Drosophila melanogaster: one gene and its partner. The protein of the gene in region 2 interacts with the protein of the main gene of each other region in a pairwise test. Each region holds a gene or a part of one and is shown on either strand. Other genes may lie near its edges.

What was found.
Region 1: the proteins of CG1986 (region 2) and Gapdh2 interact in a two-hybrid assay, tested with the Drosophila melanogaster proteins (one large-scale study listed by BioGRID).

What each region holds. Positions count from the first base shown.
Region 1 is NC_004354.4:15,863,175-15,871,404, reverse strand, and holds Gapdh2 (glyceraldehyde 3 phosphate dehydrogenase 2), read right to left. Parts: upstream 3,261-8,230; 5' UTR 3,162-3,260; intron 3,088-3,161; 5' UTR 3,070-3,087; coding exon 2,071-3,069; 3' UTR 1,744-2,070; downstream 1-1,743.
Region 2 is NC_004354.4:9,907,491-9,915,720, reverse strand, and holds CG1986 (uncharacterized protein), read left to right. Parts: upstream 1-4,594; 5' UTR 4,595-4,765; coding exon 4,766-4,959; intron 4,960-5,086; coding exon 5,087-5,241; intron 5,242-5,299; coding exon 5,300-5,776; intron 5,777-5,888; coding exon 5,889-6,277; 3' UTR 6,278-7,058; downstream 7,059-8,230.

The DNA.
Region 1 (8,230 bases), 6.0 Mb from region 2:
TTAGCCTTGAAAAATTTGTTTCGAGCCTAAATAATGTTGTTTATCTGGAAGATATTGTTTTAAAAGATATAAATTAGCACACACATGCACGCATACATGGCAACATATCGACAAAATAAACAACGAAAAGTGGGACCATTATATTATGTACATACATAGATTTTTGAGTAGGTGCTACATTGACCCACATATGTATGTATATATTTGAAACTAAATGGGACATTCCCACTTAGAAAAATAAGAAAATCACATTTTAAAGCTGTAACAGCAAGCATTTGCTTTGCATTTGAAGGGAATTTGTTAAGCAAAAGTAGAAATATTATGAATCTTTTTACAAACTTCCACTGTTACATTTTTGAAACCATTAAAAGCAAGCACTTTACATTCTAATATTTCGTTTCTCTTAAATCCACAAAATACATACACACATATATACTCTTATGTACACACGAAGTTGCCAATACGACAGTGCCATATGTACATATGTATATGTATGTATAAACAGTTCACATCTGCAGCCAAATACACATTCTTACAAGACTTTTTCCAGCATTTTTAACCGCTATTTAAATTGGACTATATTTTCCAAAACTCATTCATGAACAACATTGAAATGTTAAAATTACATGCACAAAAATAGATGAGCATATGTATAGAGAAACGCACTGTTGCACATGTGCAACTGAACATCTATTAAAATTTCTATACATGTGTACAATTTGCATTGAAAAACATTACAAGTTACGGTATAATGTTAACAAAGATATTCGAAATGTTTAGCCACCGTTTATAAATATTAATTATTAAAGCGTCCGCACGTATATCTCCAACATACATACATATGTATATACCAATATGTATACAGATTTATGTTCACTACGCACATACGTAAGATGTGAACTCGAGATGATTTTACCCGATGCACTTATGTTTCATTATATTTCGTTGGGGAAAATGTGTACCACACACACACTGCACAATCGTTAAATTCGCTCGGAAAACATACTCTTTGTTCGCCCCGTCAGTTTTACACAAGTTATGGCGTTTTCACTCGGTAACTTTCATTTACATTCATCAAGAACCAGAAGTCTTGAACTCTTATGCTGATTTGTGTCCGTTTGTTGCTACTGCATGTTGAATAATTCACATTTTATTTTAAGGTTTCATCAATTGATTATTTTATTTACATGCCAGTATTAAAATGTTCTGAAAATTAGTGTGCCCGTGTGAGAAAATTAATCGAAAAGACGGTATAGCAAGCGATTAAATATCGATAACGATATAATGGTGAAGTGCTGTTGAAATGATGCAGTCAACCAAAATATTTGATTATATTTGCCAATTATGCAAATATAAATCGGCAGAGAAACATTATTTTCTCAGAAATGTATCCAAAAAGCCAGGCTTACACAGACAATATGCCACCGTTAGTCTCTCCAAATATCGATAACTTCTGTTTATACATTGCTTCAACTGAAGGGTTTAAGGTCGCTCTTATCGAAATCTGTAAAAGCCCGATTTTTGCCGATAACAATACCATAGAATCAGGCTCATTTAAAATTATTTGAAAACTTTAACAAGTTATGTAATCATTCAAAAACCAATCGACTTAAAAAAAATATCGACACATTTCTGTTATATATATATTACTTCCAAATATAGCAAATGAAAAAAACAATTTAAAGTAATACTCATACTATTTTAGGTATTTCAACGGTTTATACCAAATAAAAAGGCAAAAATAAATATTTAAATGCTTATGAGTCGGCATTTTTAAAACTACACACAGAGTGAAACTTTATTCAACAACAGTAAACATATTTATGTGTATAATGGATGTATTATATTAATAATTTTCCAATGTGGCTGGTAATTGAAGAGCGAAAACAGTAGCATTTCAGAGCATAGCGCATATGTATGTAGGTGATGCTCCACCGGGGAGCAATATATATATAAGTTATGTGATGCCATTTTCAGGCCGTTTCTGAAGTGTCTCACCCCATTCTACCGCGCCCTAATCTTTAACTTTTACGTAGAGTGTGGGTGGGTAGTGTTCTTGGTGTTCCACATTTAATCCTTGCTCTGCATGTACTTGATCAGGTCGATGACGCGGTTGGAGTAGCCAAACTCGTTGTCGTACCAAGAGATCAGCTTCACGAACTTGTCGTTTAGCGAAATGCCAGCCTTGGCATCGAACACCGACGAGTGGGTGTCGCTGAGGAAATCGGTAGAAACGACCTCCTCATCGGTGTATCCCAGGATACCCTTCAGGGGTCCGTTGGCGGCCTCCTGAACCTTGGCCTTAATTTCATCATAGGACGCACCCTTGCCCAAGCGCACGGTCAAATCGACCACGGAAACGTTGGGAGTGGGCACACGGAATGCCATTCCGGTGAGCTTACCGTTGAGGGCGGGGATAACCTTGCCCACGGCCTTGGCAGCTCCAGTGGAAGCTGGAATGATGTTCTGGGCAGCGCCACGTCCATCACGCCACAACTTGCCGGAAGGTCCATCGACGGTCTTCTGGGTAGCGGTGGTGGCATGAACGGTGGTCATCAGACCCTCGACGATCTCGAAGTTGTCGTTGATCACCTTGGCCAGAGGAGCCAAGCAGTTGGTGGTGCACGATGCGTTGGAGACCACCTTCATGTCGGGCTTGTAGGCATCCAAGTTGACGCCGCAAACGAACATGGGAGCATCGGCGGATGGGGCCGAGATGATAACCTTCTTGGCACCGCCCTTCAAGTGAGTGGATGCCTTGTCGATGGTGGTGAACACGCCAGTGGACTCCACGATGTATTCGGCACCAGCGCTGGCCCAGTTGATGTTGGCCGGGTCGCGTTCGCTGAAGACGGTGATCTTCTGGCCGTTGACCACCAGGAAACCGCCCTCGGCGGCAACGGTGCCCTTAAAACGTCCGTGGGTCGAATCGAACTTGAACAGGTAGACCATGTAGTTCACATCGATGAAGGGATCGTTGACGGCCACAACGTTGGCGCCCTTATCAATGGCGGCGCGGAGAACCAAGCGGCCGATGCGACCAAATCCATTGATACCAATCTTCGACATGGTTAACTTTTTGTTTATCTGGAAAGTAATGTATGTATATGTAAAGCAGTTAGTACTTGGAAAGTTTTCCGCGGAATTGAGGGAAACACTACCTATCGGCTTGCTTGCAAGGAATCGACTGTGATGGCTGAGAAATTTTGAGCGCTTTCTATGGGCGAAAACTCGGGCGAAAAATTGTTCAAAGTCAGATGAAGGACGTGCATGTCAAGCTCGAGAGCGGCTACCGCAATAAAAAAGAGCTTTTGCTCTCAGTAACGTGAAAGCTCAATGCTACCCAATAGACTTTTTGCAAGCATCATTATATGAATATAATAAGTAGATATGTACATAAGATACGCTTAACTTTAAAAACTTCTGATCTTAGACAGTTAAAGTGACCTATAAAGTATATGGATTTTTTAATTTATACGGACAAATGTTTATTGGGATATTTTTATGGCCATTTCACCTGCTCAATTTTGTTGACGGAAGTTGAGCTTTCTTGTGAGCTTAGTTGCCGGCAATTACATACGTGCATATATAGGCACACGAAACATACACATATATGAGCACGTCTGATGAACATCAATTGGTTATATTGTACATAAATATGTACATAAGTAAATGCAAATGGAAAAATCCTAACATCCCCACATAAATACATATTCATCAATTTCATTAATATTAAAATTTAGAGGTCATATTCTGAGCAAATTGAAGTTTCGCCGGTACGTGACATTAATCTGTACAATACATGTACATATGTACAAAGATACATATACATGTAAATATGTATATATCTTCTATGCATAACTACAATATTAGATGAAATAATTGTCTAAGTAATTAAATTATCCGTTTTGATGATTTCATTTAAGCAATTGTGCTGTTGTCATCCCATTGTTAAAATGAAAAACACCTGACAGCTCAAGTAGGCATCCAAATTTCATGAATTTTAAACGCTAATGGTAATAAATAGTGTTAGTCACAAAATTCCATGTACCCATAACAACGAAATTGTATAACTTTATGATGAAAACTAAGTGAATGTGACCTTTTGAGTCACGCAGAATTCATTTACCTTTTTTTATTATATATAAACATGTATATACATATGTTCTTAAAATCAGCAGATCCCGTTTATATAAATATTAAAACATATGTATACGAACGATATATAATCAAAATCAATTAATTTGGGAGTATTTTATTCATACAATCATTTGTAGTAAAAAAAAAGGTATCTGCAAATTAATCATTTCTCCTTCCCCAAACTGAATAATCGATATTGTAATCATTTAACATTCTTTTTATTCTTTTCATTCTTTTTATATATTTATCGATTTGTTTTCAGTGCAACCCTTAATTATGAACATAGCAGTGAAAATTCAAATAAGCGCGCCAACATTAAAATGTTGAAATATGCAATTTGACAAGAACTCAACATTTCTGTTGCCTTATCTTTTACATTTTATAAATTATTTCTCGAATAAGTATTAAATATTTTAGTGCGTCATGTTTATTTATTAATACTTGGGCTGGGCAAAAAAGTTCGTTCCTTTTCAGTGAGTCATCGGTTTTACTGATAAGCAAACATTTCACTTGTTTTTTAACCTCTCATCTTTATATTGTTGAAACGATAAATGTATTTCAGCTTGGTGCTAAATTATTGCAGCAAAGTCAAAAACAATGCTTACATCTTACCATTAAGATCCATTGAAAGATGACTTCTAGATTTATACATTACCGAAAAAAAGGATCCGATTAGAAAAGTATCCCTGAAAGTGAATAAAACACCTGCCAATGTTGTGGAAGTCTTACTGTCCTTCGAGTTTGTGGGGTTATTGCCTTTTATGCTAACATCCCAGGATGACTTCCTAACCTAGAAACCCCATTACAGATAGAAGCTTCTTGACGTCACGAGCTGAAGTAGGCTATCTATGTTTATTTCTCTATATAAAGAAGGATAGTTCGCCTTTCTATGCGTACTATATCAGAAGATATATCTCTGGATCTGGTCAAAGATATCACAATTATGACTGTTGGAAATTAACTACAATTAATACCGATTGTTTGCATATCAAGTTCATTTTAATATATCAAGCTTTTATATAAAAGATATCATATTAGTACCACATTCGGCAATAGTTTCGTTATGAATCCCCGAACTGCAAACTAATTGCGACTACAATGTGGCAGGCTAAAGTTGATAGAAAATGAGCGGGTGGTTTGATTGAAAAAAAATTTAATTTGATTGCATATAAATGTATGACTATTAGCATGCCAGTTTTATTAACCCGTTAATCCTGACAGACCAAACTCTTAATTAATGTTTTCGGCATGTACATATGTGCACACGTACATTAAATGATATATGTATGTAGCATTTGCTTAACACAATTTTCTTTATTATTTATTCTAGATATAACGCTGAGTTGACGGCTATGACACAAATTATAAATTAATGTTAGTAATCTTCAGTTTTTTCATTTAAATATGTATGTTTGTATGTATGTTTATTACATGACCATGTTTTATTTTATTTAAATTTTCAATTTCTTTTTCTTGACAGCATTTTCTGTTTCCATTTTTTGTTTTCTTCTCAATTATTGTTAATAACTAATTACAAATAAATAATTTCATCGAATTTGCCGATTTGTCGTCGGCAAATAAAACAGTAATTAAATTACAAATCAAATTACGCGCATATATGTGCGCATATATATGATCGCGTGGCATATACATACATATATATAAACATAACGTATACGTAATTAAATTTGCACGGAAACACACATACATAGAGAAGGGTTCTGATATTAACATACTTGAGGGATGCGCGTTCTAATAACAAAGTACTCTTAACAAAAAAAAAATGATTAAAAAAGAAATAACACGTTACTTTGTTCCGTTTTGGGCTGTGATAGAAAAATAGTTTAATTAAACTTACTGCTGGAGTACAAAATTCCTGACAATTCGTAAAGTGCGTTCGTAATTATGCAATTATGTATGTATTTTGTATTATGCATTATGTATTATTAACCTTAGATGGACTTACTTTGGCGCATTTTTAATAATCGCAAAATAGAGCGGTTGATCAACACGTTAATTGCTCCTTGTTTAAGTTAAACAATAGGATTATCGTATTCGTATTATATTTTATTATTTAAATGTTACAAAGGTTTCTTTTCATAATTTATTCATAGTTTTGAAACAGCATTAGTTTTGAAATGGCCGTCCAGAATGTCCAGAATGTACTAAAATTAAGTAAGTCCATCTATGGCGAAAAAGCAGAGCCCAAATAACTGCAGCTGTTGTAAGCTTACCAATAGTAGTTACACATATACATAGGAATATATTCGGTTCAATATAATCAATCAAGCATCGAAAGTCGTTAGAAATACACAATAATTCTGTCCATTTGAAATGTTTTCATTTCGATTTTTTGATTCGTCTGGGTTTTTGGTTTTCTGGATTCTGGATTCGGTTTGGATTTGTTTTTTGTTTGCGGTTTAGGTTTAGATTTAGATTTAGGCTAATTCTCGTTGCTTGAAAAACTATTCACTTTAAATCACAATTTACCATTTACCTATCGGACCAAGATACTATAACGTTAAAGAATACTTCAAGAAGGTCAATAAACCAATCAGTTTATTACAGTTTTCAATGAATTTTGGTATTGCTAGGATCAGATTTCAGATCTTTGATTTCAGAATGCTGGAATCGGTATTGGTATTGGTATCGGTTTGGGATGGGTATCCGCGAATTTCCTATTACCACTTAAAATTAATTAAAAAGAACATAATAAAAATAGATAAGAACTTGATGATTCGGTATATTCGTAAGACAGCAAGACAATATCAGTATTTTCACAATATAAGCTTTAGTTTTTGTTTGCATTCTACAATCGTTTCGCTTCGTTTCGTTTCGTTTGCTGCATTTTCAAACCTTATATAAGCCATATATGTAAAACCTCATAGGAATTTAGGATAAGAATAAAATGAACAAAATTCAACAGTATGCAATTAGAGTTAGATTAGTGAGGTGAGGTGAGGTGAGTTGAGTTGAGGTGAATGCTCAAATTATTTCCATGATGCTTTAATGCTTTAATGCCCTTACTGCCGCAATTCTATGAATGTATTTGTTAAGATTTTGTTAAACATTTATAAATGTATTATAAGATTTAAAGGTGTTTTTCAATTTATTGTTATAGCTTATATGGCCATCATATTATATATAAATAGTTTTCCACTTTTTCACTAATGCATAGTTTACATATATGTTATTTAAATCATTCTTATTTTTGTTTGTATATAAATTAGGGACTTAAACATAATAAGACAAAAATTTGTTATAGTGTTTTCTTTACTTTTTTTTTGTTTTGTTTTGTTTTCATTACTTGATTTATAAAGTTTATTACGCAATTTTTGTTTTTGTTTCTTGTTTGGTTTCCTCCATCTTCATCTTCTTTTCTTTCTCATTTTTGTTTTCTTTTGTTTTGCTTTACGTTTAGGTTTGCCGTGATTCTTTTTTTATTTTATTTTTTTTAAATGCTTTAACTTTATTTGACTTCTCCACCATCCCCACCTTGCATCAGGATCATCCACATCCACACATTCTGAAGTTTTATGTATTATACGCAAAAGAATATGTATTTACTTGTTGACATACATGATTACAATGATACCATCTTCATTTTCTTTTACAAAGTGCAAACGACTGACTCACTGATTAACTGACTGACTGGCCAGCACCACTCCTGCGGCTCCTGGGACACGGATGCGGGTTCCGATGCGGGATCAGGACCAGGATCGGGATGCCAGGAGTCCAGGGGCTGGCAGCCTTGTGCTCTCAGCTGCACGCACTCACCGCTGAAATGCGATTTGAACTAAGTTTAATTTACGTACGCTTTAAACTGTAGCTGTAACCGGAATTCTGACTAAACAACTGACTCTTACTCTTCTGACTATCAGCGGGCCCATCGTTACTCCATCAATTTCTTTATCGTTTTGGTTTCTTCTTGATCGCTTGTTCTTGGTTTTTCATTTTTTCTTTTCTCAATTTTCCATTTACACTAATAATATTCTTGTATGCGTGTGTATGTCTATTTGTATGTTGCTGCGTATGTCTGCGGTTTTTTTTTTCGGTTTTTTGTTGTTTTTTTTTTTGGTTTTATTTTGTT
Region 2 (8,230 bases):
AGCGTGCGATATGCTTCATATCAGTACTTCGACTATTTAAGCAGCCCTCTTTCAGGGTATAAAAACTGATTTAACGTAATTCGTTGTTTTAGTTTTGTCTCCGAGTGCATGCCAGCCTGCATGTGTGTGTGTGTGTGTGTGTGCGTATGTGAGGTGAATGGGTGAACATGGCGGAACAGGACACAATGAAATGAGGAGACTGATAAAGGCATGGGAGGGGAATAGCGAGGAACTGGAGCAGAGTCAAGTATCAAGGCATCGGGCGTGGAAAATCGCAACACAGCAGCGGAATTTGACAACAGGCGAATAAAGTGCTGGAAAACAATTCGGGTTTTAAAAGGAAACATTTTTAGAAAAGGTGTTGGTCGAAAATCAAAAGACAGAAAGGTTTAAACGAAAAGTATTAGTTGTATTTACAACATTTGTAGCCACAGCACTTTTTTGCCACGTTAGTAAATGACTAAAACCTTCAATCAGTTAAGAATATTGGATTCGTATGTCCCTTAATTAAGATACATTGCCTTCAAACAGTTTTGTCGCCTGAACTTTGGCATATTGTGATTACCTTCCCGCTACGTTGTCGTTCATGACTCCGCAGTGCGTGTGTGTGTGTGCGCGTTTGTGTGTGACAGCGCCGTTGGTGCTAACTGTAAAAGAGGGAGGTGGGAACTGTGACTGTGACTGCGACTGGTGACTGCTGAATTGGTGACCCCGACACTACTTGTCCACCCAACCTCCGCCACTCCAGCGATTCAACAAACGCCAGCGACATGGCAACACAGCGACAACAACAATTACACTGAAGAAAAATGTGGTAATATAAATATTAAGGGATATATTAAACAGGTACTATGTTAATTAAACCAATTGAACTAAAACATTGATAGCCAAAAGCATGTGACGTAAACTAGGAGTTAATACTTAACCATACAATTTTCGCAGTGTTTACAACGGCAACAGTAAAACAAAAAAACGACGGGACTGGCAAAAAACTACAGCAACATGCTCACGTCGCTGACGACGTGTCTCAAGTGCGCCCCTCTCTTTTGGCCCCACATATGCCGGTCTCTTTCCACCGAATATAGCCGTCCCTGTCACGCGGTAGTAGTGTTTGTCTGTTGTAATTCACGAAATTGCCAGCAATCGATATAAACATCAAGTCCCAATGCGTTTCGATGTCGCCCCCTCTCTTTCTTTTTTGCTCGCCTGCTATCTCCTTCTGCGCTTCATTGTTGTTGCTGTCGGCTTCTGGCCATGATCCTGTTGACGTTTTGCTCTTGTTGTTGTTGTTTTGGTAGCTAGTCAAGTATCGAGTATCGAGTACTTGGGAGGAAAACAAAAATTGTTTGCCTGGCTTGTTTTTATTTTCATTTTAGTGCTGGCGAAACTGACATTGATGATGATTATTGGGAGTAAATAGAATTGAAAATGCCACCAGTAACCTCCTGTGCTCCTTGCTACGTTCTCAAGGCCCAGGACACGTGTGAGTATCAACATCTATCCTGGCGTCTATATAGACAGCCCCCCCCCCCCTTCCCCAATTCCCCTCAACTACCATCCTTCGCATAATGCGCGCAAATAAATTGCAAAATCAATTGAGCGGTAAAATAGTTTCCCTTCGCGGAAGATAACAACAACAAATCGAAAGTCAATGCTGCTGCCACGCCCACACCATCGCCTGCGCCTGAAAAGACTGAAAATTGAAGCCGGGAAAATAGGAAAGCAGGAACCGAACTCCACTCCCACTCACATGGTAACGCCGAGCACTTTGAACTCGCTTTATTTTAAGCCTGAAAATGGAAAAATATAGAGAAAGGAGGCGTGGCAGGGCAAAATGAAAATGGAGCAGCAGATGTTGGTTTATAATAAAGTATAAATAAAGAACAGTATTTCTATTTCTTTTAAATATTTTAAAAACTTTCTTTAATCCTCTTCGAACACAATTATCTAACCAATATGGTACTGCCAAATATTCCTTAATTTCTAGCCGCTCCAATTGAATTTATAATTTTATTAAAATATCCTAAATGAAAATGGTGAGCCCTGGCTAGCTAATGGTTATGTTCCAGCAAGTCTGCTGCATGAATTTAATCTAATTAAAATCCTGGGAAATACCCCGTAATTATTCCCACTCGTCGGCGACTTGTTGCATACTTTAAGGAGCCTTTAAGCTGTCGCATTGCTAAGAGTCGGTCGCATTACGCATACGCCGCATTGTGCTGCGGCGGTTGGCTTTGGATTCATTAAATGTTATAAACTCATTACGCGTTTTGTCTGCCCGAATGGATATTGGATGAAGGGTGTGATAGGAGCTGAGGTGACAGGTGGTGGGTGGTGGGTGGTGTGTGTTGGGTGTTGGTGTGGTGTGAGTACACCCGAGTTGAACGAGAGTTGTTGGTTTGCTGTAATAACCACAAAACATCTGCGAGCACCACATACTCGCACACAGTTGCAAATGAAAATCTTTGTGCAGAATTAATTAAGTAAACAATACGAAAATTGTGGAAATTGCTTTGAATGCGTCCCCAAACACTCACACATAAGCTGCTTGGCCACACATACATACGTATATGCAAAAGTTATTGCCAGCAGCTGTTGTTGTTGCTCTTGTTGTTACACATTATTATTATGATGCTGCTTAATAGGCAACGCAACTGTGGGCAAAGCAGGCGGCTGGGGGCGCCTTTTGGGGGCATCACAGCCCCTTTGGCCCCTCCCCCCCTCCTAATAACAATCTAGCCATTGTCTGCGGCAACAATTAAGCCGCACTCTGCCTTAATGATAGAGCCACATGAAGAAAATGGCCAAAACAAAGGAGAGCAAAACTCCAAAGTGCATGAAAGGAAACTCGAAGAAAATGGCTGGGAAAATTCAGCGAGCATTTGGGGGGCGGACAAAAAACTTTTGATCATTCATGAATATTTAATCGGAAAAGCGATTGTCCCACTTCGCCAAGAACCAAATTAAATTCATGCATACAAACTATATGCATTTTATTACAATATCCGTAGTATATAAAGTTTTTTTTACATTTAAAGTCGTTTATTATCTCTTTAAAACGCATTTTTCAAGACCTAATGTCCAGTGTTCTTTTCTTCTATCATTCATTTAAGCATTGATCATTGTTTAGCTTTCATTTTAGGCATTTATCATTCAATTTACAAACTTTGAGATACATTCCAATCGGCACGTCTTTACCATACATTTTTTTTCGGCCGAATTGATAGTGTTGAACATAGAGTTGACATTGAGGCCAGATAAACAGAAATACAGGTGGACAGCGGAAAGAAGCTACAGATAGATATGCAAATCGATCGACTGCCAAAAGCAGAAATCGCCAAAACAAAGCCAGAAGAAAGAGGGGAAGTAGAAATGGTGATAGTGGACGATTTGAAGACGAAGCTTTGGGGCTCTCCCAAGATTTAGATGAAAAACAATGGGGCGAAGACAACGAAATTCGTTTGGCACTTTACTTGCGCATCATTAGCGTTATTCTCTCTTTGCTTTCGTTTAACACATATTGGTTAGAAAGCTCGGCCAAAAAGATAAAAATAATACGGTTGGCGAGGGGCGGCAGAGGGCGGGATTATATTATGGTTTATCTCTTGTGAGCTGAACATATTTTATGAGCGCGACATAAAAAAAAAAAAAACAGCGTTTTGGGTCAAAGTTTGTAAGTTCTCCGCCATTTGGGTTGTCGTAAAGGCACTGAAAAAAATCGACGGGCAATCAAATCACTTAAAATATAATAAATATCAGAAAATAAATATTAGCATAGTTTTCAAGTATGTAAAGAGGTTTTTGAGTATATGATGTTTAAGTATTAAGTATTAAGATTACATCCATTCTGCTGACAACTCCCTTTCTCTCACTGCATCGAGAAAGCGTGTGCCCAGATCAACTCCCTCTGAAGTTTATGGCTGCACTAAAATTAACCTATTCGATCCGAGATGAGGCCTGAATGCGCCGCCTTGTCTTTCGGTTTTATTATCGATTTCGATGCTGTGCGGTTTGCTCAGCTGCCAAAGTAAACTATAAGCTATAAACAACAGCCATGACAAGACAGAAATTCGTCGCTACCGTTTGCTGGATTCTATGTCAAGATCAGTGAAGTGCCGAGTACCGAATACCAAATACCAAACACCGAAAAACCCAAAGCCGAATTCCCAGCCGAAAGAAATCGAAATCGAAGTCAAAAAGTCGTTACAAGCTTTTTTTGTACTTTCACTTGTGCAAACACGCGGCCAAGAACGCCAAAGATGTTTAGAGCTCTCGGAGAGCAGGGTCATCAGCATCACATACACTGCGCGAAAATACGAGAAATTCATGTACTGTGCATCTGTGCTATATTAATGTATCTCAAGGCATAATGCTGTTGAAGGTGTTTAAACTAAGTTATAAAATTCATATATTTAAGAAATACTTTATACATATTTATATCTGATCTTTTAATATATTATTTCTAGTGCTCTTCAGAACCATTACTATGCTTGCTTGTAATTTTCCCAAGTGTACTTTTCCATCACGATCATCAGCGTCATGATGATCATCGTCTTCACGGGTCTTTTGGAGTTACAAGCGAGTCGAGTTCTTCAGTAGCCAGCCACGGGGCAAACCATTCGGTCCAGAAGAGCGTGTCTTAAGATCTCGGTTAACTCCCCCAGTTCTTCGCTCCTCTATTTCTTTTTTTTTTCTGGTGTTGCTCAGTGACAGTGAGTGTGCAAGTGTGTGTGGTGTTTTCGGTGGTGCATGACCCTTTGACCGCATGCCCGGTCACGTGAACCACCTTCTGCTCCTTGGCTGCCTGCTCTGCCTGCTCGGCGATGTGCCGAGAATCGAGGCTTTCCACCGCTGGAGTCCCATGATGAAGGCCTTCCGCTATCTCCAGGAGACCATGCTCCGGAATAGCCTGGAACGTGCCCATCTCAATCATGGCATCGTCTTCGAGTGTCGCACCATGTAAGTGGGTGTAGGTTTTGTATTCAGCTTTATTCATCTGTTCTTCAATTTTAAAGTTTTTTCAAACAATTTTATAGTTTCCATAATAAATGCGTATTTTTAGCTAAGAACTTCGACTTTTTTCCAGATCAGCTAAGGATTTTGGTAATGAAGTGCATTTCAATCTGCAGCTTGGAGACCTTCGAGGATTTCGTCGCCTCGATCCTAACAAAAAGTTGGCCCTATTTTTGCACGGCTGGAATGATCAGGGCAGCAAGGATTGGGTGCAAGAGTTATTGCTAAGTATGTATACTCACCTTATCCACATAATCATCATTCGAATTTCGGTTCTTATACCCAGCTTGGACCCTATTCGACTCCAATTACAATGTGTGCGTTGTGGACTGGGGAAATCTGTCGCAGAACGACTACAAGTCCGCATCCATGTCCATTTTCGATGTGGGTCTAACGGTGGCTGGAATCATCATGGCCCTGGAGGAGCTGCGTCCCAATCACTTTCATCGAAGCAACGTGACCTTGGCGGGCTACAGCTTGGGTGCCCATGCCGCTGGATATGCGGGCGCAGTGTTGGAGGGTCAGGTGGAGCAGATCATAGGCTTGGATCCCGCTGGACCGCTGTTCTCGCTGCCCGCCGAGGTGGCGCCCAAGTACCGCCTGGATCCAGGAGATGCGCAGTTCGTCCAGGTACTTCACACTTCCGGCGGCTCCTTGGGCACCAGTCTGAAGTGCGGCCACGCCGATTTCTATCCCAACGGAGGCAGGGCGCCGCAAACGAATTGCAAGATGTTCGCCAATCTGCGTGACATGCAAAATACCAGTAAGTCAAGGCCATCTATATCATAGGATTATTTCAAAGATAAGCCGCTTATTTAATATGTAATCTCGCTGAAGAGCTATGAAATAAGATACAAACCATTATCATTCGGCAGATCCCGTTTCCTGCAGTCACTCGGCGGCTGCGATCTTCTTCCGGCAATCGATGGATCCCGAGTACCCGTTCGTGGGCTACGAGTGCGGCAGCTACCGGGAATTCGCCGCCGGATATTGCGATGGCAACCGGAAGGCGCGCTTCGGTATCCATTCGCAGAGGCGTGCGCAGGGTAGCTTCTATTTCCGCACCGCCCCCCAGCAGCCGTACGTGCCGAGGCGTCAGACCAACTGGCTGAGCGGGGTGGGGCGAATGTCGTCGAGCAAGGTCAGTCAGGTTAGCCAAAGCCCCCTGGTGCTGCGCCTCTGGACGAACAGCTGGCGGCGGCGCGAGCGAGCGAGAGAGCGACAGCGAAGAGACAGAGACAGAGAGAGTGATCGCTGTGCGTGAATAAGTAGTTCCTAGTGTTTTGTTAGTGTTAAAATAAACGCAGCCTAAATGTATGCAATCATTTTATGATGGAAAAGAGACGTGACAGCCTAAGGGTTAATCAACAATCAACAGCACATTGTTGGATAAAGTTTACTGTAATAATATGTCTAACAAAACAATGTATTTTCATTTCACTTTATTTTGTGCTGCGATTCTATTTATAACTCCCACAAACCAATATTCCTTAAAAAAAACAGATGATACTTAAGATACTTAAGCTTACTTAAAATCTCTAGCGAGTTCATCGTAATTCGCCGAAGTTTCTCACAAGAATATAAATCTCTAGAGCGTTTTTATTTTTTTTTTTACTCTTAACGAACGTAGCAGTAAATATTTCCGTTCAATTTGGCAGCCAGCCGGTTTTCGCCATGTTCTTGTAAACTGCATAAAAAATAACAAGAAAGCCAAACGGCCAAACACACATGGAAAAGTCGTTGACTTGCAGCCACAAAACGGCGAAAAGTCGGCTGCATTTAACAGTTAATCGTAAAGCAAAATTGTGAGAGAAAAAGAAAATAGAAAATGGAAAATGGAAAATGGCGGAACAAGAACAAGCAGCAGAAAACAATAAACTGAAATTCAATTTTCGCATTGTAAAACATAATTTTCTACAAAACTTGACGTCAGCTTGGCCCGCTTTTTGCTAAAAGGTAGTTAATATTTTTGCAGTCCATTGCGGCCGTGCCCCGCCCCCGCGCCCCTCTCACAGCACCGGAAAAATAAGTATGTACTCTAGTAGAAAAATCAAAAAAACTATTTAAGTCATATGTTTGAGTACAAAATTTATTTAAATATCATGTAATAAACAAACATTAAATATAAATCCTAATTTTTTAATAATATTGTTATTAAACTAGTTGTTTGAATTAATCAGTCCGCTACTTATATGTTACAACGTTTTTTCGTCGAGTGCAGCTATCCCGTTGTACATTCCACTCGAGTTGTTCTTGCTTTTTCCCGTTGCTCCTTGCCACTGTTGTTGTTATCGTTGTTGTTGCTCCGCCTGCTGCTTCCTGTTTTGTAGCTGTTTTTGAAATTTATGGCGGCGTCGTCGCCTCTGCCGGCGTCGCTGCCGCCGACGACTTCTTCGCATGAGTTATGCGCTTTTTATTTCCAGCTCCTGGCCACGTTAAGTGTTAAATTGTTTTATGCATGCACGTGTGTGGGAGAGAGAGAGAGAGTGAGCAAGAGAGGTGTCAGTAGTGGTGGAGAAAGGGAGGGCGAATAGGAAGCTCGGACTCGCCATTTAATTATGAAAGTTGATTTCAAGGAATAGCGAAAGCGGGAAAGAGAAAGCCAATGGAATGTGTGTGGCTTTTGGTCAAGTGTTAGTGTTGTTAGTGTTGCAACAGGATAAGAAAAAATTTGAATGAAATTCTAAAAAAAAGCAGCACACAGAACTATTATCTAAACGGTCGCACCTTTTAGATTTGAAATGGTGAAATGGTGAATGGCATTTGACAACATTTAACTTTTAAGACACATAAATACAAAACTGTTTACAATTCCTTGAGCCTTGTACACATAATGGAAAATAATAAACTCATGAAAAACTCATGAAATTTAAGTGCTCTTTTTAAACTTATACCGTTTAAGCAGTATATGTGTTTTATTTGTTTTTATTGCCCTTAATTTCTGGGCAACCAAGCAAAGGTGAATAAAGGGAAGGGAACAAGAGGGAAAAGGAGCAGTTTTTTGTGCTCCGCTGACTCGAACCGCTAAAGTAGCACGCGTTAATGCGAAAATCACTTACACACACACTCAAACACACACACACACACTTGCAGTGGTGTGCGAGAGAGACAGGGAAGAAACTCCTGTAAAATCTAAAGCAAATTAACGTTTTAAACACCTCAAAAGTTTCGTGCATTCTCATGGTCCTTAACTCTAAGACCCTCTCTTTCTTTTTCC